2 linked regions of the Danio rerio genome follow. The protein of the gene in region 1 binds, or shares a complex with, the protein of each later gene. Links are inferred from orthologs where the notes say so. Each region holds a gene or a part of one and is shown on either strand. Other genes may lie near its edges. The genes, in order: myo6b and clta.

Region 1 (3,831 bases):
TTCATCACAATCAGATTACCCTAGAATCTCAGCAGCAGGTTTTGAACAGACAAGCAGACACAATTTTTTTATATTTTTTTTAAATTTTATATATTTGTATTCCAGCCCAGCAAAACCCTGCTCCACCTGTCCCAGCCCGGCAACAAGAGATCGCGATGAACCGACAGCAGCGTTACTTCCGCATTCCCTTCATCCGGCCCGCAGACCAGTACAAAGACCCCCAGAACAAGAAGAAAGGCTGGTGGTACGCTCACTTTGATGGACCCTGGATCGCTAGGCAGATGGAGCTTCATCCAGACAAGCAGCCGATCCTCTTGGTTGCAGGTACCAAATACTATGAAGTTAAATCAGTCATTTTCTCCAATCTATAAACAATTAATACGCCAGAAAAGAAGCTGGAATTGATAAAATAGCTGAAACTCTTAAAGGCGGTTAAATTAGGTATTGCACTCCTGGTTCAAAACACACGCAAGCACAGGTTGCTAGATTGGAGACAGAAGCGACTATCAAGCCTAAAGACTGATTTAGATTGTGTTCTAAATAAAAGCAATAACACATGATAGAGGAAATATTTACCATATTGAAAGGAGTTTTTGTCCTAACCAACACCTCGAATTGATATTTTAGAAAAAGCTTTTATTTCTCGCAGCTGAATAACAGGATAAACTGACGATGATCACCTCAGGTGCACCTCATGGACTTTGTTCAGTGTTAAATGCTAATAATGTGAGTTTAAATGCCATTTTACATGACATTTATTGTCATACTACTGAAAGCAGCAGCAGATAGTTCACCTCAGGTTTTGAAAATAAAATAAACCATTTGAAAGTGAATTTTAGAACTGTGACTCAGAGTAAGCCAACACATATCAGTGATTCATCATGTACATTTGATAAAGTTAAAGAGGTTTAATATGTTTAATTAGATTGTATCCCTTACCATATCATTGAAGTGCAGTAGGTGCACTATTCTGTGCTTCTGATGGCTGTATTTAAATTTCTGTCATCTGGTGCAAACAGCCAAATTGCTTATTACTGTGTATCTCATCATGTAGTGTGTTGTTAGAACACGGGGTTACAATGTTACCTGCTCTCCTAATGTTTACCTTCATAATATTTTTTATTATTTGCTAATTAAAAATCACCTCATGTGGAACTCTGAATCTGTGTCTCATTTAGGAGGCTGTTACTGTCCACCGGAGGTTGCATTTTGGTATCGGATGCATATTTTGAGAGCTTTCATGACTGAATGAATCAAATACGCTGTTTTCCTTCAAAGCACCCTGGGGTGCTGAATTATAATTAGCTAAACTGGCAATGGGCAGGTTAAAGTTCCAGCACATAACGCACATTTTCAAAGCGGAATGTCTGACGTCAACATTGTTTTTCAGATAAACAAAAATGTTCACTTAGCAGGTTTCTTAAATATCTACAAACATATTATGGTATTTTTATGCCTTAGTAGAATCCAAACTTACAAACAGCACCTTTAAAAGACAATTCGATGCTTAATTGCGGATGTAAAATGTGTACACAGACAGATTTTGACGCCTTCTGTAACCGTTCTCAGGTAAAGATGACATGGAGATGTGCGAGTTGAGTCTGGAGGAGACCGGCCTCACACGAAAACGTGGAGCCGAGATCCTGCCCCGGCAGTTTGAGGAGATCTGGGAGCGCTGCGGTGGAATCCAATACTTGAAGAATGCTATTGAAAGCAAGCAGGCCCGTCCCACCTACGCCACCGCCATGCTTCAGAATCTCCTCAAGTGAACATCACACATTTCTCTTATTGGTTCACTTTATCTATGCACATTTAGATTAAAAGTTGTGCTGCTAGAAAAAAGGGCAACTCTAGTGGAAGTCTAATTCACTTTTTTTGTTTGTAGTTTGTTCCTTATTTTGCTGTGACCTTAGAAACCAGTTTTCAAACTAATCTGAGCCTTCTTGCTCAGAGATGCCTTAAGATTTTCAAAAAATTCACATCTCACTTGATAGGGATGTTATTTAAATGTCACCCCTCATTTAAAGGACTTATAAAGGACATTTCGCTGTGCAGTGACAGACATTTCTAAAAATATCCTTGCTTGCCCCTTCTTTATTATTACAGTTGATGTGTCATTTGTGACATGTTAAAGAGCCCCTATTATACATTAAAAAGTCATATTTTGGTTTTGTGGGTCTCCAATTACAGGCTGATATGCATGCAAGGTCAAAAACACTTTTGTTTTCTTATAATTTGCATTTATTTTTACCTCATTTTCCCAACGGCTCCCATATGATTTGTTCAAAGATTAATTTGTTCCCAAACCCCTCCTTAGCACGATGCTAATCTGCGCTGATTAGTCTGATGACCTAGTCTGTTGCGATTAGTCGACTGCGTTCAGTGCGACACAGTGTGAAACGCCCACCACAGCTTATCTACATTGTTGAAGTAGTCAGAGTGCAGAGTATATGTGTGAGCCCAATGCAGGAGCGCATTAAAGCAATACAGTTAAACATCAGCATATCGCTCTATTCTTAACCACAAGTAAAAACAACAACACACATTCAGTATTAGTCCACACAGTGGCAAAAGCTGAACTATTTTAAAACTTGACCGCTGCATGTGTAGGAACAGCTGACGGTAGTTATAGCAATGACAAACGACAGAGGATCGCGAGCTAATGGACGCATTTTAATCCATAAACAAAGCAGCATGCTGTGCGTTTTCAACGTGGTTTTAGACGCGATATGTGAAAATTAAGAGTTAATCAGATAGAGTACATGCCGCGTAGAGCGATTACAAGTAGCCAAACACAAACAAATACATAATTTGCAAGCTAGAGAAACAAGGAGACAGCCAATTTAATCTTACACTTGTGAAACTGATCCATGAACTGTGTACTGATAAAGTTTGTCAAAATCTCATACATCAATAGTCTTTTTTGATCCTTCTTTTAACAAACGACCAACAAATTCCCGGTTGCAGGGTAGATTATTGCATTAATCACTACAACGTTCACTCATTAATGTTCACTCACCTTCAGTCCCACACTCACCAGCACTGCTAGCGTTTGAAGTGAAAGGAGCGTTCACGTTTTACCGGATCCAAAACTTTATATTTAGTTTGTCTCGACGTGGATATCAACATGCAAAAAATCCTGACGAACGACGAATCATTTAAACGACTTTTAAGTCGAATCGTTTATTTTAAATTGGATATTTTTAAACAAGGTTGATTTAAACCTCAGCTGGATGTTTTCATTCACTTAGAGCTGTGCTGCACACTGTATGGAAGGTCATTTTCAAAATCCATAATATGGGCTCTTTAAAATATGCTAAAAATGATAATATATTCCTCAAAAGAAATCGCTAAATGTTTATTTATTTAAGCATCCTGACCAGCCCTGGCATCATCAGCTCAACCAATGGTGTATTTGGAGGTGTGTCCATTTATTTTAATTGTTAAACCAATAGCAGTTTTTTCACACTATTGCTGGTGCAGCAAGACATTTTACCTTTTAAAGTAAAATTCTGCTATATTACTTAATATTACTATATAGTAACATATTACTATAACATTATTGTAAAGAAATATGTTAAAACATCAAATAGCTAGTCAAAGTATCCCTAATTGAATCAAATAACGGCATTAAAGGCTAATGAGGAACATGCACCGAAATACATTAGGTTTGAATATTTTCTCTCAGCTTTGCAAATGCGACCAGCAGAATAGTTTCTGAGAAATGCACCATCTGAAAATGCCTTTACATATATTTGATAATGACTTTTATAGATGCGTTTAAAAGCAGCTTCGGTTCATAAAAAGGAGAGTCACTGCTGCATTGCGTGG
Region 2 (3,831 bases), on another chromosome or scaffold:
TCTGACATTAAGAAACATATTGAATAAGTAGAGCAAAGCCACACCACGTGCAACAACTTGATCTTCCAGTTATGTGAATTTGATAAAAGCATGTTTTTTATGCGGGAAGGTAACCGATTCGCTGCAGCGGACCCTTTAAATATGAGATCAACGCAGCGAATTTTGGCGCTCTTGCCAGTGGAGCAGTAAACCCAGACAGTGTTTGTCACCAGACCAAACTAAACGCTCTCACCGCATTCTGTGTGAACACACAGTTAATATATACAAATATACATTTTGCCATTTATAATTTGTCAAACTTGATTTAATGAGGTATACTTTTCGACTTTTGATCCAAAATTTGTACATTTATTTCATTTTGCACAGTTTTGACAGGATCTCTTCTACATTTTCCACATCACAGATATCTTAAAGCCCTAAAAGCAATTCAATTCAACAGTTTGTTTATAGAGAGAGCTTTTATAGTATATTCTAATAATAAACCCATTACTATTATTTATACTAAAAGAAAATAAAAGGCCTAGTGCACCTCTAAGACACCCAAAACACAAATATATCCAAAAACATATCAGACTTAGTTTTAGAAAGCATTAAAAAACATTTTTGTTTTTTAGCATTCAATATCTGGCTAGTTCACTGATCCGCTGGTTTTAAGATCAGCCAGAGACGTAGTTGCTTGAAAATTCACTAATACTTAGGGAAGAAATTCACTGCATTACAGATAACACAACTACTTCTACTACACTAAATAGCACTAACATATTGAATCATCTAAATTAATATTAATAAAAGACAATAAACAGCATTGACTAATCATCATCTATACAAATGTTTACACAGTATATCTTCAATATCGGAATAATTCACACAATATGAAAAAAAGCACAACACAAATGACAGAAAAATAATGAGTTAAACGTTTTATGAATGACCATGGAAAAAAAAAAGATCTTGATTTAAAAAAAAAAAATGTTGGACAAGACAAATAAAAAAATCTATGAAACTAAAACAAAAATATACAAATGAACAACATGCATAGTGTGCAACAATATTGGTCTGATTAGTTGAACAAAAACTATCTGGCTTCAAACATGAAGTGAACGAAGAGTTTAGTTAGAGATGTGTGAGATTAACAGGTGATGGAAAAAAAGATGGGATGCGGGGAAACGAGGGAATGAGAGATGCATGTGAAAAGAAAGGATGTTAGTTTTAGCAACATACACATAACCAATCAGATCAGCGAAGGGTTGTTTGTAGAAATCCTCATCCAGCACCCTGGAAGTCCCAGAGGAGAGCAGCGAAGCAGGAGAGAACAGAGAGAGTGGTAAAAAGGAGAAAAACCACACTCATACAGAGCCAGTGTTAACACCAGGCCAAGAACATACAAGATGACAAACCGTGAACACATAAGAGAGACAGACAGAGACAAAGAACTCAGACAACCGTTTCACATTGACAGGAATTAAGACAGATATTCTGAAAGAGATTTAAGAAGACGTGGCATTTTCATTTGTACCAAAACATTTGTGAATTTTCCACTGGGACTGAATGGGAAGCACAAAGCATGTGACTGAAGTTACATTTGATTTCTGACTTAATACCTGTTCTTGTAATATAGTTCTCAGATGCTTCACCAACTGATCAAGAGTTTCTCATCACTTTTTCCCCCCATTCTAACACAACATCCTAAAGCGATGATGGATACAATACCTGCTCCTGATTGGACCAGCTATGATTTTGTGACCTCACATGACCATTGAACAAGGTCAGACTCTCAGATCTGCTTCTTCAGTGTGCTTTTCGGATCATAAAATGGCTACAATTGTACTTGGAGTACTTGAAGGTGTGCTTTTGTGCTGGAACATTAGCTTGACCTATCCTGTCAAGGATAAATACACATGGCACTTAAACCAGCAGTAGGTGGCAGCAGTGAGTAATAAGTCATTATTATTAATAGGGCTGCACGATATTGGAAAAATATGTTGTTTTCCTGCAGTATTTATTGCGATATAAATACAACTTCACCAGATAGCTTGAATAGCTTCATGTGGAATTTTTTTTTTTTATTATTCAGACTGATTGGGGATTATTCTGGGTGTGAATGATGTATAAATTATCATTTAAAAATATGGCTAAATTAAAGCTAGTGCTTTATGTTTCTTTGGAGAGTCAAACAGTATTCAGATACAAAAATTGAATAATCATATGCAAGATAACGCTGTATAGTCATTTATTTGTTGAATAAATAGGTAAATACAAGGAATCTGTATTATGGCCACTGAGTGGTACAGCACAATACAGTATAGATGGGTATGGGTCACCTTTATCAGGCTTGCTTTTTCACTTATTAACACATGCAGATGACAAACTTTGTTATGGTTCGAATCCACAAGTTTCATGTTTTCAGGATAATCGCTCTTACTAAAATATAATACCAACATATACACATCTATGTGCAGATGCACACATTGCAATATTGATGCTAAAACTGTATGTTGTGCAGCCCTAATAAATCATTACATTAAATCTAATCAAACGGTTATGATAATTCTATAAAATACAAGAACGTAATACGATTCAAGTCTATTTTTGTGCCATAGTCAACATCAAAAAACCTACAATATTATTGAAGATGATAAATCTTTACAATCACTCATGCTGGGAGTGTCCAATGAGTTGCATTTTATTTATTTATTTATTTTAACTGTCTATTTTACTTTTTACATTTTTATTAATCTTATTTATTTTGAGTATTATGGAGTTGTGTATTCAACCTATGCATACACTTGCTGTGCATTTGTATGACGATTGAGGACTTGATCAAACACCATTTGTTTGCAGACTGTTAGCGATGTGCCTCTTCTGGTATAATGTCTCGGCTGTGTATTTAAAAATGGAGCTTCTTTGTTTGGGGATGTTTGTTTGTTTGATGTTGATTGTTTTTCTGTTTGGTGCAAATTTATTTAAATATATATATATATATATATTTTTTTTTTAATGCTGTGTAAAACTTTTTTTTAATATACAAATGGAGTAATAAAGGGAGCCATGCACTGTCTAGTGCACAGGTGTCAAACTCAGTTTGTGGAGGTCCTTAGCTCTACATAGTTTAGCTTTGACCCTTATTAAGCACACTTAATCAAACTAATGGAGTCCTTGAGGCTTGTTTTACACCTCTGGGTAAGTGTATTGAAGCAGGGTTGAAACTAAACTGTGCAGGTCTTGTGCTCTTGTAATCGCACAGCAAAAGCCAGAAACTAGGCCTGCCTTGTTGATTTCTTCTGCTCGAACAGTGTTTTGTACCTGTTGTTGACTTTGGTTTTCTCCAGCTGCTCGTTCTGCCTGGTGTGCCATTCCTCCAGCTCCAGCTTTGCCTTCTCTTTCCACTCGGCCTCCTGTTTACGCGAGTTCGCATCTGAAGAGAAACATTCGTCAACCCTAAATGAACTTCAAACTTTAAATGCATCTATATAAAAGCATCCAGGGGTCAGGTTTGCGTTTACCGAGCTCCTCCAGCCTATCTCGCTGCTCCTCTCTCCACTTCCTCAAGCTCTCCGGCTCAGCCTGCAACCGATCCACACTGGAGATGGCCGCGTACACATCTGAAGGGCCATTACTCTCCTACAGAACACACACAGCCAAGCCACACAATTCCAGAACGCAAGTTAGTTGATAGATTTTAATTTTGGTATCTGGATCAGGGATTTGTCCATTATGTTTATGAATTTTATTATATATTTGAATTGGAAAAACAAAACTGGCTTTTTAAAATAGGAGTCACTGGTAAAACTGGGCATTCAGAATTCTGCTCAGCATGTAAAGCCTGACAAT

What was found.
Region 2: the proteins of myo6b (region 1) and clta are in contact, whole or in part, in an NMR structure (PDB 6E5N), measured with the Homo sapiens proteins. The link is inferred for Danio rerio from reciprocal best matches to the Homo sapiens genes MYO6 and CLTA. Residues at the interface, in NP_001355794.1 of Homo sapiens: Met1053, Thr1054, Pro1055, Met1058, Ala1059, Met1062, Ser1087, Trp1089, Lys1090, Tyr1091, Glu1113, Arg1117, Leu1118, Val1120, Tyr1121, Trp1124, Asn1128; in NP_009027.1 of Homo sapiens: Glu47, Asn48, Glu50, Ala51, Phe52, Ile54, Leu55, Asp56, Gly57, Gly58, Ala59, Pro60, Gly61.

Annotation. Positions count from the first base shown.
Region 1 is NC_133192.1:38,550,778-38,554,608, reverse strand, and holds part of myo6b (myosin VIb), read left to right. Parts: intron 1-105; coding exon 106-324; intron 325-1,569; coding exon 1,570-1,769; 3' UTR 1,770-3,831. UniProt on the Homo sapiens protein: Myosins are actin-based motor molecules with ATPase activity. Unconventional myosins serve in intracellular movements. Myosin 6 is a reverse-direction motor protein that moves towards the minus-end of actin filaments.
Region 2 is NC_133176.1:13,754,324-13,758,154, reverse strand, and holds part of clta (clathrin light chain A), read right to left. Parts: intron 3,622-3,831; coding exon 3,504-3,621; intron 3,416-3,503; coding exon 3,304-3,415; intron 1,276-3,303; coding exon 1,222-1,275; intron 1-1,221. UniProt on the Homo sapiens protein: Clathrin is the major protein of the polyhedral coat of coated pits and vesicles.